7 linked regions of the Coturnix japonica genome follow. The protein of the gene in region 3 binds, or shares a complex with, the protein of the main gene of each other region. Links are inferred from orthologs where the notes say so. Each region holds a gene or a part of one and is shown on either strand. Other genes may lie near its edges.

Region 1 (2,888 bases), on a different chromosome or scaffold from region 3:
GTTCTCCCCGGAGCCTTTTCTTCTCCAAGCTAAACAAGCCCAATTCCCCCAACCTTTCTTCATAGGAGAGGTGCTCCACCCCTATGATCATCTTAGTGACCCTCTTATGGACCCATTCCAAGAGTTCCACAGCTTTCTTGTGATGACGGCTCCAGGTCTGGGCACAGTACTGCAGATGGGGCATCACAAGAGCTGAGCAGAGGGGGACGATCACCTCCCTCTCCCTGATGGCCACCCCTTTTTAATGCAGCCCAGCACACCATTGGCCTTCCAGGCTGCAAGCACACACTGCTGGTTCACATCCAGCTTCTCATCCACCAGGACCCCCAAGTCCTTCTCCAAGTCATGCATCAGAGGAACTGACTATATGAAGAAAAGAATGTAGCTGGTCCTGTACTTCTTGGTACACAGCTTTCCCAACACAAGTAGGAGACATGATAAAAGTTGGTTCCAAACCTAAAAAGTGCTGTTTACAGACAAAACACTCATATTGTTCTATTGTCATTCACATATACACCATTAACAACTGTCAGAAAAGTGCAAGTCTTCCATGGCCTTTAACCCAAAGGACTCATGCTGAGCTCATTGCATTCTGACGCCTTGTATGTTTTCACTCCAAGTTCTCTATTCTTTGCTGCAAGGGGCATGAAAACCGTCCATATACACGATTTCCCACATTGTTTATTATTTCCTACATATCCTCAGCACTAACTTCCTTGCAATAAACTTATAAGCAATTCTCTTTCAACTGGCGCCCAGTGAGTTTTACTGTCAGAAAGAAAAAAAAAAGCTTTATTTTAACGTTATCTCTGTTCCCCAGCCAACACATGAGGACAAACACATCCATTATAAATTATCACAGAAACAAATACGAGTGCACTTCAGATAAACATTTATTAAGAAGAATCGTAATTGCTGCTCTTATCCTATCCATCCATAAAGGTAGGGATGTGAGGGGGGACATTCTGGATCTGCAGAAGACACGGTGTGAGGCAGCCGGGGGCTGAGGGAGAGGTGGACAGGGAAGGGGAGGAGAGGGATGGAGGGGCAAAGGCCTAACAGAGCAGAGCGGCGGCACAGTGCTGCGCTGCCACCCCCCGGCCACCACAGACGACACAACCAGAGGTGGTATACGACCATTGGCTGGAGCAATGAGGAGGGCGGCCATTCCAACTAATAAGATTGAGCCCACAACCCCTTTTCCCTTCGCGCTCCGTGGCTCCGTAGCCAATCGCGAAGGCGGCGCGGCGGGGTGAGAGGTTGGAGGTCGGCGCGGCGGCACGGAAGTGGAAGTGGAAGGTATCTCAGCGCTGCCTTCCATTCTGCCTCAGCCCGCGGCGCGCACGAGGCGATCCCGCCTGGCTCTGCGCTTCTCGGGCCGCCATCGCGCCCCATCGCCATGGTGAGGGCAGGGCAGGGCAGGGTGGGGGGAGGCTGTCGTTAGCGGTTGGGATGGCGGGCGGTGCTGACCATTGCTCTCCCCTAGAGCCTGCCGCTCAACCCGAAGCCCTTCCTCAACGGGCTGACGGGGAAACCGGTGATGGTGAAGCTGAAGTGGGGGATGGAGTACAAGGGATACCTCGTCTCCGTCGACGGCTACATGAACATGCAGGTGAGGGATGGAGGGAGGGACCCGGGCCTTGCTTGCTTGTGGGAGGGAAGCAGTAGTGAGGCTCCTGTTGGTGTAATGTTTGTGCTGATTTTCGTTCCAAGCTTGCAAACACAGAAGAGTACATCGATGGAGCACTGTCTGGACACCTGGGAGAAGTTTTGATAAGGTAATCGTGGTGCCTGAGCTGGGGAACGGGGTCTTGTGGGGACTTCTGTGTCTTGTGTTACTGCTTTGTTGAAGCTGGTGGATCTAGGGGATGTGCTTGTGTTTTAAGTTGAAAGAGGGAAGATTTAGGTTGGATGTTAGGGGAAAGTTCTTTACTAGAAGAGTGGTTAGGTCCTGGAACAGGCTGCCCAGTGAGGTTGTGGATGCCCCGTCCTTGGAGGTGTTCAAGACCAGGTTGGACGGGGCCCTGGGCAACCTGATCTAGTAAATGTGTATGTTTGGTGGCCCTGCCAGACAGGGGGGTTGGAACTACATGATCCTTGAGGTCCCTTCCAACCTGGGTAATTCTGTGATTCTGTGTGATTCTGTGTATTGGAGCACTAAATGCTGCTGTAACTCCCATGTGAAGTGAACATTGTATTTGCGAGGGAAATTAAGACATTTCAACTAAGGGAGCTCTTGATTCTATTTACAGGTGCAATAATGTTTTGTACATCAGAGGTGTGGAAGAAGAGGAAGAAGATGGAGAAATGAGAGAATGATGATTTGTATATCTGGAAATAAAGGGTTTTTTTTCTTTTTTTTTTTTTCTTTTCCACAACGTTGTCATCAGGTGTTTATTTTGTTCTTGTATTTGACTATGGGGGGAGTTCACCCAGAGGCTATAAAGAGTCATGAATTTCAGTGGCATTCATAGAGCTAAAACAGCCTGTGGAATGGGAATGCCTGATCTCAATCTGCAGTATTATGGAAAGAACACACAAAACACTAACAACAGGCCACTCTTTGTTATCAGGCATCCAGATAACTGAAGTTTTGGCAGGAACATAATTGCTTTCTCAAATGTTAAGAGCAACCATTGACATTAACCGAAGCTGTTCTGTACCTATCAGCATTTCCTAAAGGTAACCATTGCTTTGCTGATGCTGCTAGTCAGAGCCTCCCCTTGTGAAGGATCTACTTGCATCTCTAGGCTGGAGAGAGGTTCTACAAGCCAAAACACAAATGGCTGTACCTCATGGATTTGTGTGTGACTTTGCGCTGTCTCATCAGTGACCATTTGTCTTACATCTATTCTCAAATACACAGGTATACTTTCAGTGCTACAGAT
Region 2 (4,156 bases), on a different chromosome or scaffold from region 3:
TTGCTTCTTGATGACGCTGTCTGGGGGAAAGCAGCCCGTTAATTTTCCCATAAGTTACTACAGCATTTGGATCCAAATCAGTATATTCTAAATTCTGTGGAAAAACATGAATGGCACCGTGTTTCAGAAATGCATGAACAGCTGATGCGTTCTGTACGCTGGGAGGCTGGGACTGGCATACTCTAAAAATGGAATCCATGTGAATTAAGTTCAGCAGCTTGTCTTTGAAGGCGCTCATTTCATCCTTATCACACAGAGTCTTTTGTTTCTGTTCAGCTGTACGAGAGAAAATGCTCCCTATGAAATTCCACATATTTGGGAGAACACTTGAGCCAAACGTCACATTTGCATCAGCCTTACTCTGTTCAGGGACTCCTGGGTTTAAGTGAGGTTGACTGGCAAAAGGCTCCTTTACAGTTACGTCTTGCTCCATGCTATTCTTCACAAAGCTCTTGAGTAAGATGTCACCTTCTGTAGAAGGCATGTCTACGACGTTTTCCTCAAGCTCACGCGCTTTGGGGCAGATCAGAAGCTCCGTGCAAGGTTCTAATCTCCCATAGGGGGCTGCTGGCATAAGTGTACCTGAGTATGGATAAATCAGATGAATGAATGCATCCACTCTTGCAAAACAGCTTACTCAAGGCACCAGCAAAGCATTCACTGCTGCTTACCAATTCTGATGTAAACGTGAGTGTGGTGTTCAACCCAAACAGGAAAGATGGCTTTGGGGAATACGATTCGGATCTGGTCCAGAAGATGCTTTTCAAGAGAGGAAGCGTGCAGTTCCTGGGAAAGTGTGGTATCATTGTAAGCTACACACTTGTACAACCTTTAAAATGTGTTTGAACATAGAAGATTCACATCTTTTTCTAATACACCATTTGAAACATAAAATACAATGAAAACCCACAAGACTTAGCATTTGCTTAGGAGCAGAAAAGAACGGGGGATTGCGACAAAAGCTTGTATCAACATTCTCTGTCATTTGCATGAAAATGATGTGAACAGTGGGACAGGTTTTCTTACCAGTATTTCCCAATCATCTGCTGAGAGCGGTTCCACTTCTACTTGCTGACAGGAGGAGACGTGTGAACAGGGCTCCACGAACACCTGATAGAAGCAACATTATTTCTGAATAATTTAACTCCTTAAACACATAAAACCTCTACTCAGAAACTCAAAAAAGGGACCTGCATTTCAAACCTGTTCTCCATCTGCAATGCCAAGCTTCTCTGCTAAATGCCTGTTCATCTCTGCGATATTTTCACCCCGCTGACCTCGATGCCTCATTTCCATCCAGCTCAGGTAGATGGGCTCATCACGGCAGGATACTTTGACAGCTTGGCCCTGTGATTATCAGGCAGATGAAACGAATTACTATCAAATCATACTCAGAAATACTCAGACCCATCTGGGTCCAGGGGCGAGGGGTCCCGGCCCGTTCGGAGGATGCACAGTCACCACAGCGACAGTGCGGGGGGCGGCTGGTTGCCCTGCGCTGTCGCTGTGGTGACTGTGCGTCCTCTCGAGGAGGGCTCTGAGCACCGCCATGATGACGGGATACGATGGGGGGAGGAAGGAGAACCTCTCTCCCACAATCCCCTCCGAACGGGCCGCCCCCATCTCGTCCCCGTACCTGCTGCAGGCGGAGGTGCGAGGCCAGCACGGCGGGCAGGTGAAGGAAGCAGTCCCGGGTCCCGCTCAGCACCACCGTCACCGCGGCGACTCCAGCGGCCCCTCCGCCGGGGTTACCGCTGCCCCACATGCCGCCAGCCGGGTGGGCCGGGCTGTAGTTGCTCGTTCCGCCCGGCTTCTCGGCAGCGCCCACTTCCTTCCCGGAAGAGCCGACCGGAGCCGCGGTGGCGGCCGGGAAGATGGCGGCGGGCGGTGCTGGCGGGCCGGGGGAGGCGTGTAGGCACCACCAGCAGCTGGGAGCATGCGGGTCCAGGGCCAAGTACCGCGAGGGGCGGCGACCCAGGGCCGTCAAGGTGCGGGGTGAGGGCGGGTGGGCTGCTGGAGACTTGTTTAGTCCGCAGGTGTCGGTGCTCTGACATCTGGAGAAGCATCAGCTCCAGCTGATGTTCTGTGATGTGTTCATCCCTGCTTGAGTTCATCCCTGCCCGCGGTGGCTCCACACAGCGGGCAGCACGAACGCTTTGAGTTGTTGTTTTCGCAGTGAGGTAAACGTGGGCATTTTAGAGCATTGAACAGCATCTCCCCTATGAGGAGAGACTTAGGGAAGTGGGTCTGTTTAGCCTTGAGAAAAGAAGGCTGAGAGGGGACTTGATCCAGGTTTATAAATACCTGAGGTGGGGAAGCCATAGTGGTGAGGCTGGTCTCTTTTCAGTAGTGCGTGGGGACAGGACTAGGGGTAATGGGATGAAACTACAGCATAGGAAGTTCTGCATTAATGTGTGGAAGAACTTCTTTACAGTGAGGGTGACGGAGCACTGGAACAGGCTGCCCAGGGAGGTGGTGGAGTCTCCTTCTCTGGAGATATTGAAGACCCGCCTGGACGCCTACCTGTGTGACATGGTGTAGGGAGCCTGCTTTGGCAGGGGGTTGGACTGATGATCTCTAGAGGTCCCTTCCAACCCCTACAATTCTGTGATTGTCCTGTGCTTCTTTCAGGTGTACACCATCAACTTGGAATCGCGTTATTTACTAATCCAGGGAGTTCCTGCGCTGGGCGTCATGAAGGAGTTAGTGGAGCAGTTTGCCTTGTACGGAGCCATAGAAGAGTACCATGCACTTGATGAATATCCCGCAGAGCAGTTCACTGAAGTTTATCTGATAAAATTCCAGAATCTGCAATGTGCCAGGTATTATACACAGCACTATCTGCCTTTTGTTGTTTTAATCCTTCACGGCCCCTTTATGTATGATCTACATCATACAGAGTTGAAGTAAAACCCTCAGCTCTGCTAATGCCATTTAGTTTCCTTCAGGGTGGCCAAGAAGAAGATGGATGAGCGCAGTTTCTTTGGGAGTTTGCTGCACGTGTGCTACGCTCCAGAATTTGAAACAGTCCAAGAAACCAGGGAGAAGCTGCAGGACAGAAGGAAGTATATTGCAAAAGCAACAAATCAAAGAGGTTTGTAGTTAAATCTCATGTCCAGTTTTAATTCCAGTGGTTGGTACGTCTTGGTAAAGCCAAAAGCATCCATTGATGAAAATATACTGTGTTTAGCTGTTTTACATTAGGACATTTCTCAGTTATTCCTAGAGATGGACCTTTCAGAAAGCAACGTTTTAGTTAACATGCACTTTAAAGCTTTTAAACCTCATTGTTTCCTTCATTTCTTTTCAAAACGTTACCTGAAATTTTAAGTACTGCCAGGAAACTGAGGATCAGTTTGTTCCCCTTGTTACAGTTCTTTCAGGCATACCCAAAAAGAGAGATTAGTAAGAGAGCCCCCTCCCTGCCCCTTATTTCCTGCCTGTCATTTGGGTCAGTAAGGAACACGAGGAATGGATTGGGCTGACAGGCAGCTTTGCTGCTGAGTTCCCAGGCAGCGCTGAAGGCTGGACAAGCTGTAAAATAAGTACAATGCCAGGCACAGGCTTCTCCTTTCCTATGCTTATGTACTTGGATATCATTATCCACTGCAGGTGCTGCTTAAGCAGAATCACAGGAAGGTGACTGGGAATGAAGTATTGCTGGTATTATTTCTGTCACTGTATTGAACACTTTATGTATTAGAACTAACAGTGGCATAAAATAATGAAGCTGTTTTCCTTTTCTTTTCTTGTTGTTTTAAAGACTGCTTTCTGTTGAAGAAAACAGAGAGGCCTCGGAGGACCAAGTCTGATTCTCAGTGGAGTACCCCAGGATCACATGCAGCCACTCACTGGGATCCATCCTGCTTTCCAGTTCCTCATGGGTTGTCCCAAAACATGGAATATCCTTCTGGCAATCACAGTCAGGACCTTTTGGCTTTTCCCCACTGCGACAACCCCAGTGCTGAAACCTCTGGGAACTCCAGTCAAAGCTCATCCCTAACTCAGAAGGCGCATCCAGGAGGATGTGCTGCACCAGTGCCTTTAATTCAGCAAAGAACAGTTCCAGCTGATAACGGCATTGACAGGTTTATGCCTCGTACAACTCACCTGCAGGAACGTAAGAGGAAGAGAGAAGAGGGTAACAAATGTGCCC
Region 3 (3,528 bases):
ATCAAATTCATTCCAGAGATTACAGTCTTGCTGGTGAAAAGCTGCCATATTCTAGTCAACACCGTATCCTGATTGATTACTAGTAGTTCCATATACAGACTGTCAGAAAATTTAATTTATCCATCATTTCTTAAGTCTCAAAACTCGATCTGGAAGTTCCTTTGAGAGCTCTCCTGCAAAACTAAGAATGACTAACAACTTCTGCTTTTGCAGCGCAGAAGAAAAACACACATTTACCCATTTCTTTTGTGTACAACAACGTTCTTCCATTTCTAAAATTGTGACTGAGAGTAGAAATTCCTCAAAGCTCACAATTTTCTCTATTTCTATAAAATACTTCACAGGACTATGTAATAAAAAAAGATTAACACTTGGTAAAAGCACCACATAAAGTGTATGAGAAGTTAGACATTACATTCATCTGTGTTTATTTGCTTATTTTCATTTTTAAGTAAGGCAACCCACAAAAAGAAAAAGAAAATAACCTAACACCCAATTCTAAGTCAAATCTTACAAAAGACCTAGTTTTCCAGAATGAAGTGGTGGAAAAGTCTACTGCTTTCCGCACTTCAGATTCTGACTAAAGTGGGTTTTTCTTTTAAATATATGTTTTTTCCTTGCAGTTCTTGACCACAGAACAGACGACAGCTGAGAGCTGGGATTAAACACCAGAAGCTGAGAACCAGTGAGCAGACCAATTACTAAAGCAATGGTGCTCAAGTTATATCTGCACAGTATAACATAGTTTGTGCATTCCTGACTGTTATCTATGCGTTATAACTGAATTGTTTTTCTGCAACACAGCATTTTTTTCCCACTACTCAGAATTCTTCAGGTTATAGCTTCACTGGAAACCAGAACCCAATGCATGCATTTAGTGTTGAACCTTTAATTTTGTGCATGAAATGAATCAAATAAGACAAAAATATAGCAGTCACCTGAACTCTGAAATTACTTTCATGTGAATTGTTTACTGGCTAAAGAACAATTTTCCTTACTTGAGAACACACCTGCCTGCTGATCTCCAAGACTAACTGGCATCCATACAAAAATTGCTTTAAAACAATACACAGTATTACTAGGGAAAATAAACAAAAGCAACTATCAAAAACTGGAAGTAACGACGTGATTCATTCTTTTAATACCATCTTGTATTTCAATACCTGCCTGAAAATACCTCGATTCTCTTTCAGAGTCAGAGTTCTGAAAATGTCTTCCAAGTTACATTATTTTTGTTACCGGATAACCATTCCAACAGTCCAACCAATATATCTTTCCAGGCTTTAAACAAACATTTTAAACTGCTTGTCAGCAAGGAGCAATTACACAAGAGAAATGTGTTAAGAAATATGTCGTCCTACATGCTCTAAAGGTTTAAAGACATCTTAAGTAAAAACAGTTGTAAGGAGATGCTGTCATTCATCTACTTGCTACACAAATTAGGTCCCAGGACAAGTAAGTATTCTAAACTCTACGCAGCTATTTCATTTAATAGCAACAAAGAAAAATAAACTTACTGTTTGACTTTCAGGAAAATCCATCTTCAGCAGTTTGTGAGCACATTCTTCAAAGTCTAAGCTGAAATAAGTTGAAAAAAAGCAAACAAGTTTTCTTCTTATCCGTGCAATATACAGCTATACTAAAACACCTGAAATCCACTGACTTTCGTTCAGTCAAAAGGTTTGATTGGAGCAGTATTCACAGTCTTAGCAATCTAACTTGAAAAGTATTGTAGAACAACAATTTTTGCTTGGAATGATGATTTAAGAACCCACTGTCAAAATCATAGTCAACTTTCTAGCCTTTAAATCAAGTTCAGTATTTTTTTTTAATGATATGCTAAAGCAGGATTTAAAAAATAAGAGAAATTCAGTCACACCAAAAGAAATACAGCTGTGTATGAATTATACAATATTTACCTTGACTGAATAGCAAGATAAATTGTACGACGGAAGGAAACCAGGTTAATTTCTGTCTTGTCATGGACAGTAACTTTCTGGCCTGTGAAAGAAACACAGTTTGGAAATAACAAAGCATTACAATGTATTTTATACATCTACATATCTTGTAGAAAATATTTGTTTTTATTATGTCTGTACCACATTTGTGTAAAAATACCTTTTGTGGAAATATTTAAGACTTGGGCAGTAATGTGTTTGTATATTTATTTCTATCAAAGTAAAAAATTCAAAAACAGTGTTCACTTTATCTGTGACTAACAGGTAAATATTTAGAGATACAATAGAGTTACAGAAAGCCTCCTTTTATTATGTGCTACTATTAAACATTTATATTTCTGACTAACTGCAGATTAAAGCCTCCCTTAACACTGCAGTGTTCTTAGTTATATAAAACTTGAAACAGAAGTCAAGGTTTTCTTCACAGTTTAACCTACAAAAAAAACCCCATGCACAAAGAAATCCCAACAACCAAAAGACAAACAAAACTCCAAAACAAACAAAATTTGCCAGTCGTACACTTACCATCCTCATCCTCCTCTTCATCTTCCTCTTCATCTTCGTCACTACTTCCAGCCTCTTGATCTGCTTCAGACTCACTGTCACCTTCATCAAGAATTTCTGAAAGAGCAGCATGCCACATTAAAGGTGCACAGAACATAGTAGTTTCATTACCGAAAAAACAATTGATCTAACATCTAAGAGCAAAAGGATATCTCTGCTGGAAAAGGTACATCACAACCAACTTAAAACACAGCTGTAGGGACAATACTGAGGAAAGGGACAGGAATATGTTGGAAAGGAGTACGACAAACTCAAAGGCAGTTATCTGGGACACACATGCCACCCGCTGTTAAACAGTTAAACTGGTAACGATAGTTGGATAACTGAACAGCATACAAAAAACACAAAGTACATGAACACATATTTTACACATACCATGCATATATAATGTGTAGTAGACTATATATAACGTATAAAACACAAGTACACACACCTACCTTTCTTGAGCGCTTTGTATTTCTCCTCATTTTCCATAAAGTTGGGATCCATCTTGAAAACATCTTTAAAATAAAAAAGAATCCTTAAAATACAAAATGAAAATAAGACTGCACACCAAATCTTCAGTTTGTTTTTGTGAAAAACACAATCATGTAAAATATTTCTAACTTACTGAGAACATCCTCTGGGTTGTATTCATCTTCTAAAGGTAACATGTGAGTAAACTGATCTTCCTCTTCCACTAGATCTAAACCCTCTGGAATGATTGGATGATCCTTGAAGCCATCCTTCCGTACGGCAAACATAACTTCTATCATGTACTGAACACGCATGTCAATTTTAGATTCATGGAGAATGTGACGAAGACGGTCAAAGATTGCTTTGGAAAAAGTGGAATATTTAATATGTAAAAGGACTTAACATTAAGTTAATCACAAACAAGAAAAGGCTAACGTGTTGGCTCATACATACCATTAATACCTCTAGGAGAAACTTCTGTTAACTTGAGCCCACTCTCCTTAAGGAACCCAATTGCTACTTCAATACTGTCATCAGTAGGCCTTTCAAG
Region 4 (4,223 bases), on a different chromosome or scaffold from region 3:
GTTCCCTTTCTATCTGCCAGCCGTGTTTGTAGTCTGAGCGGTCGTGGAGGAATTTGCAGCTGTCTGGAAAGCACAAAAGAGGGATGAACAATCTACCCCCATTGCCCAGCTGTTCAAAGGACACCTCATCCAGGGGCAGCCTGAGATTTGCTCAGTACAAGGTGAAACCCAATTACTTCTGTACCCACCCATGCTACAGGGCAGGGCCAAGAGAGATGAGGCCAAGAGAGGGCCTCATCCTGCCCTCTCAGGATCAACAGGCCACAAGCATCACGTTCTGGATGCCACAGCAAGAGCTCCAGCATTCACCCACATAGGAAAAGGAAAAGGAGATCCCACCACCTACATAACCTCAGGTGAGGAAATACTAACTCTGCAAACAGGTGCCCATGAATTACTAACTGTGCAATTTCATGCCACAAAACTTGGGCTCACCATCTGGATTGGATCCCTGCAGGCAAGACCCACTCACCTCCAAAGCCGCAGAACCCTGTTTCCTTGTAGTCCTTACAGATGTCTGGCTGGTAATCCCACCGCACCGTGGCCCTCAAGTGCTCTGGAGCACGGATGGGTCCTTTTCTGAAAGGGTGGGAGAAGGCTCAGTCCAGCTGTGTCACTGCAATGGAGAAAACCCCTGCGGGCCCGGCCAGAACCAGACACCAAACTCATTAGATAGGAACAAGCTCCAAAAACAGCATCATTTCAGCCCAGAAAAGTGCCCCTGGGGACAATGTCTGAAATTCTCTGTGGTTCTATGATCCACCCCCCCCATCCCAGGCTCGTCCCAACCTACCTGACCATTCCTGAAGAGGCATTTCCCATTGACGTGTCTTTGGGCTTCACATATTTCTGGTAATTGTTAATACCACGGTAAATTTTATCATCTTCTTTTCCTCTCAGTTCCTAGAAGAGAAAAAAAAAAAGGCAATTAGGGGTCAGAAGATCTTCATGTCACAAGCGAGCTTTTATCTCTCCCATACCAACCTCCCCTCCTGGCCATACCTTCCTTAATACCAAGTAGTCAATAACACCAGCAAGTCCCCCCATTTACATAGACAACACTTCCAACCTCTCAAATATGCAGGCAAGAAAAGACTCAAGGTCTTGGCATGCAAAAGGAGATGAGTAAGCACACACACTCCTGCATAGCATGAACTCTTAGAAGTGAGGCTGACCAACCTCTTGTATTTTCTGGCTGCGTTCGAAGATGGCCTGGGCATCTTTATCCTTCTCTGTGTCCAGTTCATACACTGCTGTGGCCCCCATGTCTTCTGGGCCAACAGGTTTCTGAAAAGCAAGAACAATATGTGATAACAGTAAAAAGAAAGGCTGCATGAGACAGAAACCCCTCGGCTACCTGGAGGGCCAGTCACTGAACAAGTGCTGGGCATGGCCTGCTTCACCCTCCAGCAGTTTCTAACTTCTATTAGCATCTTCTCTTAGCATCCAGCCTAGTACTTGTGCAAGACAGGATGTTAATTACTGACTGCTCCCAGGTTTTAGTTTGCAGAGTCAGGACACAGAAATCCCCACTTTACTCCTTCAAGCTTCATCTTGTCTTAGCTGGAAACTGATCTCAGGTCTCTCATGTTCAGTGCTTCAGCCATGAGACCACCCAGCCCACAGGCAGGATGTTATATCTGAACTTTTAACCCAGCTGTGGGCAGCCTGTGCTCTGTTTTAATTCAGTGATCTAGTCTTGGTTCCTTGTGAATACAGTGAACAGACAAATGCTCTGAGGTTCTGTCAGCTCTTCATTTGCACAGAAACCAAATAATTACAACCAGCCTCAAATTAAAAACAAACCCATCTTACACACCAAAAGCTTCTGGAACCCCAAAGGCTCCACCTCCTCCTAAGAACGTGCTGCCCTGCCCTTCAAGTATTAGGGCCACAATGAGGTCTCCCCGGAGCCTTCTCTTCTCCAAGCTAAACAAGCCCAGTTCCCTCAACCTTTCCTCCCAGCAGAGCTGCTCTGAGCTCCTTGTTGAACAATGCAGAATATCAGGAGAATAAACCCAGCTTGTGTGTTAGGAGGGGAGGGACAGGGAAACACAGCTACAGATCAAAACTGAGAAGAGCTGATGGCACATTTACAGAAGCAGAGTATGGGATATGAGTATGGGATTAACCCCACCCCAGAAGCTCATCTGCGCTCAGTCCTTACCGCCGACCTTGTTGATTTGTACGTGACTCCGATCTCCTTCGACGGATCATCATCATCGCTGCTGCTCAGGGCGTATGAGGGCCGCTCCTTTGTGCACCTCCTGGTCTGAAGGGCGGACAGACAGACAGACAGACAGACAGCGGGTGTGAAGGCTGGATGTGCCCCACACAACAACAGCACAGCGCCCTGTGTGCACCTCACCTTCTGGATCATGGGGTTGGGGGCGTCCCTCCGTCGCTCCTTCCTCACCACGGTGCTGCCCTCATCGCCGCTGCTCCCTGCGGGGTTTAATGGGGTTTAATGGGGTTTAATGGGGTTTAATGGGGTTTAATGGGCCTGACCGCGGGGCTCCGGGGATGGAGGCAGCGCCCCTCAATCACACAGCTCAATAACCGGGCCCCACTGAGGGGCTGTACGACCCACGGCCTTCCTCCGCCTCCCTCGTGCACCACAACAGGCCGCATCGGGATATACCACCCCCGTCAGCCCCTCACCCTGCTCCTGGTCGCTGCTGGGCCGCTTCCGCCGCCCCCTCCCCGCCGCCAGGCCCCGCTTCTTGAACACGAAGCCGCACACTGAGCCTCCCTCCGCCATCTTGAGCCGCCGCCTCAAGACAGAGCGGCACTAGATGGGCGCAGAGCCGCACAGCGCCCCCTGCTGGACGGGAGGACTCGGGCCGCATAGCGCCACCTGCAGGCGTGGAGGGTGAATTGCGAGTCGCCATAGCAACCCCAACAGAACACCAATAGAACCCGAATAGAACCCCAAAAGAACCCGAATAGAACCCGAATAGAACCCCAGCAGAACCCCAGCAGAACCTCAACAGAACCTCAACAGAACACCAGCAGAACCCCAGCAGAACCCCAGCTGAACCTCAACAGAACCCCTATAGAACCCCAACAGAACCCCAACAGAACCCTAATAGAACCCCAACAGAACCCTATAGAACCCCAGCAGAACCCCAACAGAACCCAATAGAACCCAACAGAACCCAATAGAACCCCTACAGAACCCAATAGAACCCCAGCAGAATCCCAACAGAATCCCTACAGAACCCCAACAGAACCCCAGCAGAACCCCAATAGAACCCCAGCAGAACCTCAACAGTACCCTAATAGAACCCCAACAAAACCCCAGCAGAACCCCTACAGAACCCCATCCACCATCGCGGTTCCGCTCGCTGGGTGGTACCCGCACCCCGAGCGCTGCTTCGCGACCCCGAGCGCAGCATCGCACCCACGGTGGGCGGCAGAATGCGGGGTGGGGGTATGGGGGGGGTATGGGGGGNGGGGGTATGGGGGGGGTATGGGGGGGTTGGGGAGGGGGGTCGGTGGGATGGGGCCGGCGATGCGGTTTTGGGGTGGGGGCAGCGGGGGCCGCCGGGTGAGGGAGAGGCGGCCGCACACAAAGGAGCGGCGCTCGGATCCGCACCGCGCAAGGAACCAATCGCCGCCACGGCCGCGCGATAAAAGGGGCTGCGGGGGGAGCGCGCACGGAGCGAGGAAGGGACGGAGCGAACGACGGAGATACGGACGGACAGAGCAACGGACAGCACGGGGAGGGCTCAGCCCTTGTGCTGCTCGGCGGCGGACCCGGGGGTATGGTGGGTTTGGGTTTGTCGGGAACAATGGGGGAGGGGAACAAAGCGGGGTGGGAGGGCTCGGAGATGATGGGGAGAAATGGGGGCTGCAGGTGGGGAGCCCCGATAGCGGTGCTGCCATATGGGGCTGCGCAGCAGGTGGGGGACCCCCCCCCCCAAAATGTCTGTGTGATCCTCCAGGGGGGAACTTCTGCTCCGGGAGGCGGCTCGGTCGAGGGACTTTAGGGTGGGGGAGCACTCGGGGGATGCTGTCTGAGCTCTGGATGCCTTTTGGGGTTGGGATTCTGTTGGGAAATGGAGAGGGGTCCGCACCCGGTGCTGAGCGGGGAGGGGAGTGAATAGGGTCTGGGCGTGCGGTGTTTAGAGGGGGGTGGGTAGGAACATTTTGGGGTTCCCCAGCTGTGCTGAGCTCCCTCTTTGTTGTGTGCTGCATCCCGTGCTTGGGGGTGTGGTGGG
Region 5 (4,125 bases), on a different chromosome or scaffold from region 3:
TCTAGGAGCTACCTCAGTTTGACTGTTTGCTCTGTAAATGCAGGTGATAACACAACCTTAAAACAACATTAAAAATTCTTCATGAAGAATAACTTCTAACTCTTTAGAGGGTAAATTACAGCAGTATTGAACAAAAAGGAAGCAAGATGATCTTTGAAACTCAATGCATCACACAAAAGTACAAAGAAATCAAATCCATGTCCACTGTTTTCTAGACAACGCACTTTGAAATCCACCTCCAACGTATTTGCCAGCTACAGAAAGAAGCCAGAACTCTATTGTGCCTAAGAGGAGCTCTGTCATATAACAGCAGACAGGGTTTTGTCAGAAACATTTATTAAACAGAAGTTACCAACATATATGTAGACAAGTTAAGAGCCCCTTTAATAATAATAATAAAAAAAAAGCATTTTGGTCAAGACCAAAATTATCTTCGCTTCTGGAAGATGTTGCCACGACCCATACCACGGCCTCTTCCTCTTGCAGCCACTGAAGAAAGAAAACATCAGGGATGACATGAATTTGATGCAACACATTTATCTCAACAAGTGACAAACCAAACATCAATAACTCTCAGTCTCTTCCTTAGAAGCACAGAAGTTAAGCTACAGTATGAGGCCTGGGAAGTGATAAAAGTAAATAGAAGTTTTCTGTGAAAACAACTGTAACTAACAACTACACAGCTTTGCTATTCATAACAGAGTATGCATTAAGAGCAATGAAATAGTAACACACCATTGTTCCTACTTTAAATTGTGTGAATCTGTAGCCAGAGAGATTTAAGACCTCCTGCTCTTCATACAGCGTGACAGAACTCGCTATATTTTGTCAGATGTTACTCCCCCACACATCCTTACTGCATTTGGTAGAGTTAACCAAGGGCTTCAGAGCCCATGATTATTTCTTGATCTTGTTATAACGAGACTGTTCACACAAAAAAGGTATTAAAGAGGATGAACTGCAGAATGGCTAACAGTTACTCATTTAAAAAACTTAAAGTATCAACCAAGTGTACGTATATGTGTGTGTGTGTGTATATATATATGTATGTATAAATATATATATATATATATATAAATATATATATAAATATATATTTTTTAAGCTTAAGAATACTTAGATCATCATACTTTGGGTAATCCAAACAGGCAGCAACCACATTTACAGAAAACCAAAGGTGAAGTTTTACCTAACTCTAGCAAGGCCACTTACTGTTCCTGAACTATCTGCAGTATCAGTATTGTGCATCAGTCTGAGTTTTGACTGCTGTCACTCATTCAGCTTCTTACAGCTCATCTTTGCTTAGTGTTAGGGATGAAAACATCTCAGTTTCTGTACAGCAAAACAGGAAGGTAAAGAGGGAACACCAGACCACAAACACACTGTACCCACCCTGAGCTTTGAGAATAGCTGCTTTTCCTCGGCCAGCTCCAGAGCCCTGGTTCTTATTCTTCATGCTCTTTAGCATAGGAGCGTTCTTCAGCATATCTGGTAAAATGAGAAACCGTATCTTGCTGCCTCTGTACACCTGCTCAAGCTGCGCCACTCGCCCATCCCTGTATGTCACTGTTATGTTGGACATCTGGAAAGTAAAGATCAGACAGTGGTCTCAAACACAGTTTGTTTTAAGTGGCCTTAAACATAGTTTTGTACTCCCACTACTCCTGCTCATGGAATATATATATAGCCAAGATTCAAGTAATAAACTCAAAGCCCTATCAAGCATACAGCCTTCAACTGTTATTGTTATATAAGGCATCTATAACCATTTAAACACAGTCTTAAAGCTTGCTAAAATTTAAGCAAACTCACTATTTTCCCCTCCTCCCCACTTGCTTAATTAGTTTTATTAGTTTTGTTTTCTTATTCAGATAGTTTAAATAAAGTTTTACTGGTCCCAGCTATTAAGGACATTTTTATTTCAACTACAACTTGCATGAAGTTATCAAAATTAAGGCTATTGCAATGCCTTAAAGTCCTCTGCATTAAGCACAGCTCTAAGCTCATAAATTAGAGTTTATTTATTATCAACAGGCAATAAACAAAGAACTGCTGAAGAGAAGGTGCTCACAGAGGAACCAGGAACAGGAAATCCCAATTCTGAGCAATTTGGTGTGCTCAGTAATCTGGAATTCACTTCATTACTGTAAGTGCACAGAGTAAAAGGGCTTTATTTATCCTAAGACTAAAAGTAAAAGGTCTTTAAATCCCGCTGTCAGTCTGCTGAGTGCAACCACTTCCAAACAGATGAGATAAACTTCTTTTACCTGGCAATTCATGTTGTCCTCAGCCTCAATGAGCTTCCCACGATACACCTCCCCAGTGTTGGTCTCGCAGGTCACAATGTGGCCCTCTGCCTCGTGCAGGACTTTAATGGGCACCCCGATGGACATGGCTGCAACACTGCGGCTCTACTCCTGGGACAGAGAGCACAACATAGAAGTGAATAAAGGAAACAAACTCCCAGTCGTTCTGCAGTTCGGCTTTGCCTACAGGAGCCGATTTGCTCCATTGAACAAAGGCCTCAGTGCTTTGGCAATACACGCCTATCCCAAGGCCCGGCCCAAGGCTGAGGGCAGCCCACCCTCTCAGCCCACATCTGCCGCCCTACGAAGCTGCAGGCACATAACAAACCCCCACAACAGACCCACCCCATAACAAACCGACCCTATAACAAACCCCCACCGACACTCACCTCCCACCAACCACCCTAATGGCCGCCGCCTTCCCGCCGTGCACAGAGCCCCGGAATCGGAAGGGCACAGGAGCGGATCCTGCTACTGCTCCTGTCCCTCAGGGTCTCGCTGCCTTATCACGATGGTTCCGCTGCACTTTTGTTCCTCCCGAAGGCAGCTCCCTCCCTCCCAGCTCCGAGCAGCCGCTTCGGGGTCCGCCCCCTCCGCAGCCGGGAGGAGCCGTCGCCGCAGCAGGGCATGGCGCGGCCCTAAGTCCGGCGGGGCGGGTAGTGAGCGGGCGGCCGCCGTCATGAGGAGCCCCCGGGAGCCGGGGGAGCCCCCTCCGCAGGCAGGTCAGTGACAGCTCCGGGGCCTCGGATCGGGGGCGGCCTGTCAAGCACTTGGTGGAGCTGAGAGTGCTCCGCCTTGTTTACAGCCGCGGGTCGGGCCGTGACAGCTCTGTTGGGGGTGGGGATGAGAAGCGGGCAGCGCTGGGCCTGGTTGTTACCTTTGAAGTCATAGTGTATGGAGAACAGGGACATCCACAGTGAGTTGTGGTGTTAGAAGGCCCTGGATGGTAACAGAGAATGGACCTGCTCATAACACAGCTCATAACACACCGCCAATGCTTACATTACTTCCTTCAAGCGGGATTTGAGGGGCTGTTTGTCCTTCTAAAGTATAATCAACATTGCTAACAAACACTGAGTACACCAATGGGTGTGTGCCAGCTTTCAAAGTTATGATTAAACCCAGTGACGTGATTGAGAAAGTGCACCGCGTTGTTGCTGCAATAAGCCGTAACTCAGTGAGAAAACAGTTTAAAACTGCAAGACATTGTCCATAAAGTTTTACATATAAAGCTGTGTTGAAACTGCAGCAGCCCCCAGGATGCTGAATGCTTTTTATCCCCATCTGAAAGCAGAGCTGACTCTGTGTTAGCAAAGGTTTCCAAGGGTCTGTACCAGATCGAAGGTAAAGTCATTAAGAAAAGCCTTTTATGATTAACTCACTTGGATTGTCTTTGAAGTTACAATGCCAAGCGGAAGCACTTCAGTCCATCAAGCAATCTGGGCTTTGCTGAAACTGAAACCACTACTACTGCCTGTAAAGAAATAACAAAGGATGAATTACTGATATTGCAGATTTTCTTGATATAGATTGGGTTTTGTCTCTCTTCTTTGGCCCTTTTACAGATGGTGTCATTTGTGAGCTGTCTTACCTTAAAAAATTACTCACAAAAAGACATGGCAGTAGAAGAGGCTGAAATCCATAGGGCTTGTAAGAAATCACTGCCTAGAGATCCTGGTTGTGTCTGTTTTTTACCCATTTGACCTATGACTTTTTGTTGGCACAGAATACAGAGCTGAGAACAAGCTGAATTGGAATGGTGAAGTACAGAAAAACATTCCCATATAACGACTGACAGCTTTTACATTTTACTCACACG
Region 6 (4,042 bases), on a different chromosome or scaffold from region 3:
TGTCTGACACAGCTGGTGGGGTTGCACGACTAAGCTGACTTCAAATTGTATTCTACCACTCCTGACCCAGCTATGTTTTACTCCTCTAACCTGTTAAATTAGGATCCACACCCTCAATGGTCCTATTACAAACTGTAACTACAAAGAAATCTCCCAGATTTAATTTCTGCAGATTTAGTCATTCAATGAAATGCAATTGTTCTGACACTTTTCAACTTCACTTTTTATAGTTTACCAACTTTCAGTGAGTCACAATGGCTTCAGTTGGTGGGGGCCTCAAAGCCCACCCATTTCCAACCCCCTGCCATGAGCAGGGCTGGCCACCACCAGCTCAGGCTGCCCAGACCCCCATCCAACCTGGCCTTAACACCTCTGGGGATGGGGCACCACAGCTTCTCTGGGCAGCTGTGCCACTGCCTCATCAAGTTTTAGTAGTAATGAGCTGTTCCCAATTTTACATCTCAGTTCCTACACAAAGAACAAAGCAATACTCTGCAATAACGAAGGTCAGGCCTAGACTGCAAAGTGAATTTCGTGCCCACTCTGGTGTGCCCCAATTCCTACCAGCATGCAGTCAGTGATAGACTTGTGACTACAAATCACAACCCCATGGGCAAGAAGTGTCAGGGATGCTCAGCCCAGAGGGCTGCTGGCAGGTGCAGACAGAGTTAAGCTCTGCAACTCATGGAAAACAAGAATTCACCACCAGAAGTTGTAACTTCTTTCTCATCACATCATTTCAGTGACAGGCTTAGCATCCTCTCCACATCACTCGATAGGAATCTAAGAAAGAAACAAATCTTACCTTGTTAGACAGCGAGCTTCTCTTAGAAGACGGACTTGGCTTTAGGATTAAACACAAGGTTACGTTAAGGACGCTAACACAGACAGAACAAACACACAGCCACGTGAGGTGAGTGCCCAAAACCGAGAACCCATCCAGGAACAAGGCCGGTACGAGTGCGGTCAGGACGATGGAGACGAAGCAGAGCAGGTTGGCAGCCAGCAGCCTCCTCAGCTCTGCCTCCTTCATGGCGCCGTGCCGCCGGCCACCTGCAACACAGCGAGCGGCACTCGGTCAGCGGGACTCAGCCGCACCAGCGGGGCAATGAGGGCGTTCTGGGGGAGAAAAGGGCTTTTTAGTGGTAGATTAACGACCCTCACGCTCGCACAACGTCCTAGGTCAGGCTCGCCCCGCGGGGCGGCCTAACAACGTGCGGGGCCCACCTGGCCCGTACCCGGGACGCCGGCCGCCCGGCAACGGGATGGCGTCAGCTCCGGGGCGGGTCCGGAAGCGGCGGTTGTTGTGCTGGGCGGCCATGGTGTGCGAGAAGTGTGAGTAGGGTGGGATTGGGGGGATCCCGGCACTAAGCGGGGTCTGAGGGCAGCGCAATTCTAATCGTTTATTTCGTGGTGTTTCTTTCCGTAGGTGAGAGGAAGCTGGGCACCGTGATCACTCCTGATACGTGGAAGGATGGGGCGAGAAACACCACAGGTAGTGTCGGTCGCTGGGTGTTCCCTGCGGGTCGTCCGGAGGGTTCGGGGGGCAGCCCCAAAGCCTGCTGGAGTTACCGGGTTGGCCCTTCACTGCTGTAGTTTCCATTGAGTGCAGTGAAGGGTTGTTTACCTCGAGCTTTTTGGCGTTGAATTTGTCCATCTCATTGCAGCCTTCCGTATTTAAAATGGGATCATTACCGGGGGGGGGGGGGGGGGGGAGAATCAACTTTTTACTTGAATAGGTAATGATAGAATGAGAGGTAATGGTTTTAAGCTCAAAGAGGGAAGGTTTAGATGGATGTTAGGGGAAGCTCTTCACACAGAGTGGTGAGGTGCTGGGGAGACTGCCCAGAGAGGCTGTGGAGGTGGTGAAGACCAGGTTGGATGGAGCCCCAGGAAACTTGGTTTAGTACCAGATCTGGAGGTTGGTGGCCCTGCCTGTGGCAGGGTGCTGGAACTTAACCATCCCTGGGGGGTCCCTTCCAACCCAACACTTTCTATGTTTACATTATGATCTTTCCCCTCATGTGGAAGGATGATATGCAGGGCCTGCCCATGCTATGTGCTTCATGCTTCACTTTGCTCTGATCACACATGCCCACATGTGGCAGTTGGAAGCTGGACTGTGAAATGCATTGCCTTGTGGTTGTATTTTTTTTATAGAAAGCGGTGGCCGTAAGCTGAATGAAAACAAGGCGTTGACCTCAAAGAAAGCAAGGTTAGTATTTAATCCTCATTTCAGCTTAAAAAATAATTCAATTTTCTGTAACTGAGACCTTGCATTCTCACAAAGCAGGGTAATTCCTCAAAACTTGTCCAAAATACAACTTAATTTATTCATTTCTTTTAACATGTTAATCCTTGGTGGCAGTGTGTATTTATGTATTTCATTGGGGCTTTCTGTGGAATTACAGAGCATGGGCAGCTGTATTGCTGTGGGCATCCCTAAAATTGGTAGGAATTGCTGTTTGTGTTAAGAGAGGGGCTGAAAAGGCTGTTTGTCTCTGTTTGTTGCAGGAGAGTTGGACTAGATGACATTTAAAGGTCCCTTCCAACTCACATGATTCTGTGATCTTCCATGCTAACATTACCTGTTCAAACGCTTGAGCATCTCCTTAATGTCTAAAGGATATTCTGTTATGCCAGGGGCAAGCCATTGTTGAAATGTATTTTGACTTTGAAATAGGCTTGTATCTTAAGAACAATGTGTGGTTTTAGTTCATCATTTATTAATTTAATTTCTATAACACAAGAAACCTCTCTTAATGGAGAAAATGGGAGGTTTTTTGTAGAAATTCTGTAGTCTATTAGAGTTGACCTCTTTATGTCCCTGTTTTTGATTGCAGTTTTTGCTGGAGTTTTTGTCTATTTCCTCTCGCATAGCATTTTTAGTATGAGATGAAGGAATTACTTTATTTCACTGTGCATAAACAAAGTACTTCTCCATTTTTCCAGGTTTGATCCTTATGGAAAGAACAAATTTGCAATATGTCGAATTTGTAAGAGTTCTGTCCATCAGCCAGGGTCTCACTATTGCCAAGGATGTGCCTATAAAAAAGGTGAGTTTCACTGAGAACTTTATTACCCCGCTTTGATTTGGAATTAGAGACCAAGTAGAAGTCTTTGATTTTGTTCTGTGAGGAAAAGAGAAGGCTGTGATGAGATTCAGTTACTGTCTTCAGCTAATAATAGGAAGGTATAGAAGGTGCACTGAGCCCCCATCACAGTGCACAGTGATGGAGAAGAGTGCAGAATTCTTTAATTCCATGTGAATAAAATAATTTTCACCATGAGGGTGGTCAAACATTGTAATAACAGGGACTCAGAACCCTTATGAAATCTCTACTGGAGAATATAAAATTTTATCAGTCTTGTGAATTTCAGGGGGCAAGCAAAATGGCTCAAACTTGTAATCCATGGGGGGAAAATAGTGCAACATGAACTCGGTTACCTTCTTACTATTGAAGAATTCACTCAGCACGCAGACATGGGCTGGATGAATTGTTAGATGTAGAGTCACAGCTAACTGGTAGTGATTTTTGTTTATGGAATAATGTTAATTGTTCTACAACTTCACACTGTGTCACTGAGTACATGGTTTGGAAGTCTGCTAACGGAGGGCTGCCTCTGGGTCATTAGTCTTCTCTGTTTCAACTCTCAGCTATTCTTGGTGTCCATTATATTTCTCTCTCGCACACTGTAATTAACTTAATTCTGTGAAACTGTATTCTTCTCAGCTTTCTCAGTTGCCGGTTAATCTTTCATTTAGCAATCAGTTTCTTGGCGCCTGTATTTCCTTAACCTTGCTACTTTCTGTCCATCTCAGGCTACAGGAATTCTAAAGTTTAGTTATATGCTATTTTTACCCGTTTGCCAGTTGGGATCCTTTTCCTGGCTGGCCTCCAGTAGTTCAGCAAATTCGAGGCTTCAGGTGCTGCTGTGAATCATAATGCTCTTAAAATAGAGTTTATTTTTTAAGTGGAAGTGTTACATGTATATTGCAATTATTAATTTGTGTTAAAAATCATATTACTACTAATGAATG
Region 7 (4,277 bases), on a different chromosome or scaffold from region 3:
ACAGTCCCTATGACAGATGGGTGTCCCATGATATAGGCAGTCCCTTTCCTGTTACTCCTCTTGGGGTACAGGAGGCCCCCATCCCCCTCATTTTATAGGGTTCCCTATTACAGAGGGGTTCTGAGGATGAAGAGGGATGAAGACCCACATTCAATCCTTTGTTATATAGGAATCCCCATTGTGTGGGTATCTTCATCCATCCCATTTTATGGGGTCCCCTCACCTGTCACATAAACAAGCCTCCACTGCACACGTTGGTCTTTATCTTTGGTATATATGTTTATATATGAGTTCCCATTCCCTGTTATACAGCTGTCCCTGATGCAGCAATATCCCAATTCCCACAGTGCTCCCCATTCCATCCTCACAGCTACAGGTGGGATCCATACACACAGATAACGGTGACTGAGTGCCACCCCATCACACAGCACGACCCTCCTCACCCCATTACCCCCCTCAACACATTATAAGGAGGGAACCCCCATTGCCACATATGGGGGATTCCCTTTACACAGGGTCCCCATAGCCCCCTATGGGGTTCCCCATCATTACACAGGCCGTCACCCCCATATTAACCCCCTCAACACATTATAAGGAGCTCCCATTGCCACATATGGGGGGTTCCCTTTACACAGGGTCCCCATAGCCCCCTATGGGGCTCCCCATCATTACACAGGCCATCACTCCCCCATTACCCCCCTCAACACATTATAAGGAGCTCCCATTGCCACATATTGGGGGGTTCCCTTTACACAGGGTCCGCCATAGCTCCCTATGGGCGTTCCACCATCATTACACAGCCTCACCCCCCATATTAACCCCCTCAACACATTATAAGGAGCTCCCATTGCCACATATGGGGGGTTCCCTTTGCACAGGGTCCCCATAGTTCCCTATGGGGTTCCCCATCATTACACAGGCCGTCACCCCCCATTACCCCCCTCAACACATTATAAGGAGGGAACCCCCATTGCCACATATGGGGGGTTCCCTTTGCACAGGGTCCCCATAGTTCCCTATGGGGTTCCCCATCATTACACAGGCCGTCACCCCATAGAGACGCCCCACGACCCCCCCTCACACCTCGGCCTACACCTCAGGCCTCCCCCCTGCCCCCACACGGGGGTCTCATCCCCCCCACACCCCCTTTAGGCCCCGGACCTGGACGAGCAGCTTGACGTAGAGCAGGGGGTGGCTGACGGCGGCGAGCCCAGCGCCCAGAGCCACGAACAGCCCCTCGGTACCGTCGGTTCGGCCCGGTCCGACCCCAGGCCCAGACCCGCCGCCAGGGGGCGCCAGCGCCACCGAGGGCAGCGGAGCTTCGCCCGCCATGGCCCCGCCGCCGCCACCACTGCGCATGCGCCGCCTCTTTGCGTATTGGTGGGCGGGATCTTAATGCGAGACAGCACTGGTGGGATCTGCGAGCAGTAGAGACGCGGTCCTCCCGCTTTCCTAGAGCGGCAAGTCTTCCAGCGTCCCTTGCGCGTTCCCGCCTTGCTCAGCGGCTTCCGGTGTTCTCTGCGACTTCCGGCGGAGCTTGTGGTGGCGGCGGGCAGGGAGTAGCCATGGCGTATCGAGGGCAGGGCCAGAAGGTGCAGAAGGTGATGGTGCAGCCCATCGTATCCTTGTCCGGAGGGGCAGGGGACGGGCCTGCGGGGCCTATGGAGCCTATGGGGCCTATGGGGCCTATGGGGCCTATGGGGCCTGTGGGGCCTATGGGGCCTATGGGGCCTGTGGGGTCTATGGGGCCTATGGGGTGTGTGGCCCTATGGGGGAATCTATGGGGCCTATGGGGTCTGTGGGGCCTTTGAGGCCTATGGGGCCTGCGGGGTCTCTGGGGCCGAGTGGGACCTTTGGGACCTATGGAGCCTGTGGGGCCTGTGGGGCCTGTGGGGCCTGTGGAGCCTATGGGGTCTATGGGGCCTGTGGGGCCTATGGGGTCTCTGGGGCCTGCAGGGCCTATGGAGCCTATGGGGTTTCTGGGGCCTGTGGGGTCTCTGGGGCCGAGTGGGACCTATGTAGCCTGTGGGGTCTATGGGGCCTATGGAGCCTATGGCGTCTCTGGGGCCGATGGCGAGTGGAGGGTAGGAGCGGCCCTGCAGGGCCTTGTGTCTCTCTGGAGTTGTTCCCGTCCTTAACGCTGCTCTACAGAACCTCATCTTCCGCTACCTGCAGAACGTGAGTACTGGGGCCGGGGCAGGGCTGGGTTCGCCTTTGGGTTTGTAACTTCTTGGCTGCTTTTGGAGCCCATCGGCTTCAAACGAAGAACTGGTGCTGTTTGGGAGCATAAGAGCTGGCTCAGAGATGAGCGTTCTCCCTTTGCATTAACACCTTTGTATGTTGATTGTGCCCCTGTGTGTGTAACACACACTCAATAACCCACACCTACAAGGTTCTGTGTTGGGAGTTGCTCTTTGGGGTGTTTCAGAGCTGCAGTGGCTGTTGGTTGCAAAGATTTCTCACCACATTACTAGCAAGGCTTTCTTAAATGCACAGAAGCAAAGACCAGCATTGCTTGAAGCATTTCTTTTCCAGTTTATTCACCCTGATTGTTTTGCAGAGGTCCAGGATCCAGGTGTGGCTTTATGAGCAGGTGAACATGCGGATAGAAGGCTGCATCATTGTGAGTACCAACATGTCCATGTGTTACCATTGGCTTTCCCACGTTCATGAGTCTGTGTGCTACCAACTGAGTGTTTTTGCCACTGATTTTCAGGGCTTCGATGAATATATGAACCTGGTGCTGGATGATGCAGAGGAGATTCACTCCAAAACAAAATCAAGGAAGCAGCTGGGTATGTCAACGTGTTATAGCATGAAAGGTGGTTGGGTGAGCCTTGCTGGTAGCAACACTTAAAGGTGGAAAGCACATGCCAGGTGTTGGTTTGGGAGAGCATTGGGCAGGTGCTGGCTCAGTCTTTGTTCCTGATGTTTGTTAAAGGTGATGATTTTGCTGAATGTAAAGGAGAATCTCCCTGTGCCTGAGACCAGTTGTTATCTTTTAAATGCTGTCTTTGTACAACTGAGGTGTCTGGAGGAGTCTGGTCCAAACTCCTTTGGGCTGTTTCTAAACTTGGTAGCCCTGAGCAATTCTCGTACCTGCTGGGTCAACTCTTGGCCAAAGCAGGAGCCACCTGACTGGTGGTATTTACTATTTACCGCTGCTGGAGAAGATAAAGCTGTCTGTGATGAGGGGATGCGTTGATTCGGATTGAGTTTATAGCAGGGACAGTGTTCTGCTGGGGCTGAGATGGTGTCTGAGAGTTGGGAGTGGATTATGAGTATGGACCCTGCCCTGCTATGCTTTCCATATGGGGCTGCCAGCAGGGATAGGACTCATTGCAACCCTCCCCCTCTATAATAGGGGCATCTTCTTGCAAGCATCTCCTGTTGTGGGATAATATGTGAAAACATGAGGTATTCTTGGATTCTGGGATCTCTCTAATCCCCCATTTCCTTTCTGTGTTGCAGGTCGGATCATGTTAAAAGGAGACAATATCACTCTTCTACAAAGTGTTTCTAACTAGAAATCGCTGTTCTTAGGGCAGTGATTGCAGTTCAGAATGGTTTGGAGTGAATGAAGAAGGTGCAGTGGGAGATCTACCCCTGCTGGTAGATAGAAAGTTACATGTAACTGGCATTGCATGCTGAGCTCAAAGTCCCCTCCTTTTGTAGGAGTGATTTTTTTTGTAGTCTGAAACAATAAGGGATGTATTTCCCAAATAAACATTTTTCACGTTGTCTGTAAACGGAAATCTGCATGGTTTTATTCTCAGCTTTCTATGCTTGGAGAAGGCAGAGAAATGTACATCAAGTGATTTGCTGTTGGTCCGATAAGTTCCTGATAGCTCTGTGCTTTTTGGGTAGTTACAACATGAGACAGGACAGGCTCTGGTGTCACTGTCAGGCTTGAGCATGCATGGCTCTAATTAAGTTTGTTAGAGGTTCTACGTGCAATTACCACCCTTTGTTGTCAAAACAGCTGGTTCCTTGGGTGCTTTCTGGTGGATCAGTGGGTTGGTGATGGATTTGAGGCTGTGATACAGTGATCCGACATCACAAACTATATTAATAGCTGTACTTTGGTAAAATATCATCATTAGATAGGGCAGCTGGTTGGGATTAAATCTATAATTTCTTCTTTGGGCAGCATCTCTGCATTAAATCCTAGTGCTGGGATGTCAGATGTGGCTGGATTTTATCACTATTATCCATGTAAGGATCTGTCCTATTTAAGTTTCCATAAGTGAGCTGAGTTTCTTAGTCCATCAGCCAGA

What was found.
Region 1: CWC22 (region 3) and SNRPF share a complex: the UniProt entries of both Homo sapiens proteins name them as parts of the minor spliceosome. The link is inferred for Coturnix japonica from reciprocal best matches to the Homo sapiens genes CWC22 and SNRPF.
Region 2: CWC22 (region 3) and RBM48 share a complex: the UniProt entries of both Homo sapiens proteins name them as parts of the minor spliceosome. The link is inferred for Coturnix japonica from reciprocal best matches to the Homo sapiens genes CWC22 and RBM48.
Region 4: CWC22 (region 3) and RNF113A share a complex: the UniProt entries of both Homo sapiens proteins name them as parts of the minor spliceosome. The link is inferred for Coturnix japonica from reciprocal best matches to the Homo sapiens genes CWC22 and RNF113A.
Region 5: CWC22 (region 3) and SNRPD3 share a complex: the UniProt entries of both Homo sapiens proteins name them as parts of the minor spliceosome. The link is inferred for Coturnix japonica from reciprocal best matches to the Homo sapiens genes CWC22 and SNRPD3.
Region 6: CWC22 (region 3) and CRIPT share a complex: the UniProt entries of both Homo sapiens proteins name them as parts of the minor spliceosome. The link is inferred for Coturnix japonica from reciprocal best matches to the Homo sapiens genes CWC22 and CRIPT.
Region 7: CWC22 (region 3) and SNRPE share a complex: the UniProt entries of both Homo sapiens proteins name them as parts of the minor spliceosome. The link is inferred for Coturnix japonica from reciprocal best matches to the Homo sapiens genes CWC22 and SNRPE.

Annotation. Positions count from the first base shown.
Region 1 is NC_029516.1:41,570,152-41,573,039, forward strand, and holds SNRPF (small nuclear ribonucleoprotein F), read left to right. Parts: upstream 1-1,245; 5' UTR 1,246-1,399; coding exon 1,400-1,402; intron 1,403-1,486; coding exon 1,487-1,612; intron 1,613-1,713; coding exon 1,714-1,778; intron 1,779-2,252; coding exon 2,253-2,319; 3' UTR 2,320-2,378; downstream 2,379-2,888. UniProt on the Homo sapiens protein: Plays a role in pre-mRNA splicing as a core component of the spliceosomal U1, U2, U4 and U5 small nuclear ribonucleoproteins (snRNPs), the building blocks of the spliceosome.
Region 2 is NC_029517.1:20,668,884-20,673,039, forward strand, and holds the start of RBM48 (RNA-binding protein 48), read left to right. Parts: upstream 1-1,347; 5' UTR 1,348-1,549; coding exon 1,550-1,675; coding exon of another isoform or gene 1,676-1,765; exon of another isoform or gene 1,766-1,787; intron 1,788-1,845; exon of another isoform or gene 1,846-1,874; coding exon of another isoform or gene 1,875-1,988; intron 1,989-2,631; coding exon 2,632-2,822; intron 2,823-2,948; coding exon 2,949-3,094; intron 3,095-3,763; coding exon 3,764-4,156. Other genes in the region: PEX1 (peroxisome biogenesis factor 1), read right to left, coding at 1-582, 672-786, 1,027-1,110, 1,204-1,347, 1,637-1,765. UniProt on the Homo sapiens protein: As a component of the minor spliceosome, involved in the splicing of U12-type introns in pre-mRNAs.
Region 3 is NC_029522.1:13,097,060-13,100,587, reverse strand, and holds part of CWC22 (pre-mRNA-splicing factor CWC22 homolog), read right to left. Parts: coding exon 3,432-3,528; intron 3,340-3,431; coding exon 3,133-3,339; intron 3,023-3,132; coding exon 2,960-3,022; intron 2,580-2,959; coding exon 2,484-2,579; intron 2,002-2,483; coding exon 1,920-2,001; intron 1,579-1,919; coding exon 1,518-1,578; intron 1-1,517. UniProt on the Homo sapiens protein: Required for pre-mRNA splicing as component of the spliceosome. As a component of the minor spliceosome, involved in the splicing of U12-type introns in pre-mRNAs. Promotes exon-junction complex (EJC) assembly.
Region 4 is NC_029542.1:2,229,041-2,233,263, reverse strand, and holds the start of RNF113A (E3 ubiquitin-protein ligase RNF113A), read right to left. Parts: upstream 2,826-4,223; 5' UTR 2,762-2,825; coding exon 2,662-2,761; intron 2,446-2,661; coding exon 2,369-2,445; intron 2,273-2,368; coding exon 2,168-2,272; intron 1,288-2,167; coding exon 1,180-1,287; intron 904-1,179; coding exon 794-903; intron 580-793; coding exon 473-579; intron 64-472; coding exon 1-63. UniProt on the Homo sapiens protein: Required for pre-mRNA splicing as component of the spliceosome. As a component of the minor spliceosome, involved in the splicing of U12-type introns in pre-mRNAs. E3 ubiquitin-protein ligase that catalyzes the transfer of ubiquitin onto target proteins.
Region 5 is NC_029530.1:7,447,970-7,452,094, forward strand, and holds the start of SNRPD3 (small nuclear ribonucleoprotein Sm D3), read right to left. Parts: upstream 2,813-4,125; 5' UTR 2,696-2,812; intron 2,418-2,695; 5' UTR 2,394-2,417; coding exon 2,268-2,393; intron 1,583-2,267; coding exon 1,393-1,582; intron 490-1,392; coding exon 428-489; 3' UTR 1-427. Other genes in the region: protein GUCD1, read left to right, coding at 2,818-3,028. UniProt on the Homo sapiens protein: Plays a role in pre-mRNA splicing as a core component of the spliceosomal U1, U2, U4 and U5 small nuclear ribonucleoproteins (snRNPs), the building blocks of the spliceosome.
Region 6 is NC_029518.1:23,890,163-23,894,204, forward strand, and holds the start of CRIPT (cysteine-rich PDZ-binding protein), read left to right. Parts: upstream 1-1,232; 5' UTR 1,233-1,265; coding exon 1,266-1,335; intron 1,336-1,429; coding exon 1,430-1,495; intron 1,496-2,160; coding exon 2,161-2,215; intron 2,216-2,952; coding exon 2,953-3,056; intron 3,057-4,042. Other genes in the region: PIGF (phosphatidylinositol-glycan biosynthesis class F protein), read right to left, coding at 806-1,033. UniProt on the Homo sapiens protein: As a component of the minor spliceosome, involved in the splicing of U12-type introns in pre-mRNAs. Involved in the cytoskeletal anchoring of DLG4 in excitatory synapses.
Region 7 is NC_029541.1:2,015,847-2,020,123, forward strand, and holds SNRPE (small nuclear ribonucleoprotein E), read left to right. Parts: upstream 1-1,459; 5' UTR 1,460-1,565; coding exon 1,566-1,619; intron 1,620-2,151; coding exon 2,152-2,178; intron 2,179-2,560; coding exon 2,561-2,623; intron 2,624-2,716; coding exon 2,717-2,795; intron 2,796-3,471; coding exon 3,472-3,527; 3' UTR 3,528-3,749; downstream 3,750-4,277. Other genes in the region: MTCH1 (mitochondrial carrier homolog 1), read right to left, coding at 1,162-1,359. UniProt on the Homo sapiens protein: Plays a role in pre-mRNA splicing as a core component of the spliceosomal U1, U2, U4 and U5 small nuclear ribonucleoproteins (snRNPs), the building blocks of the spliceosome.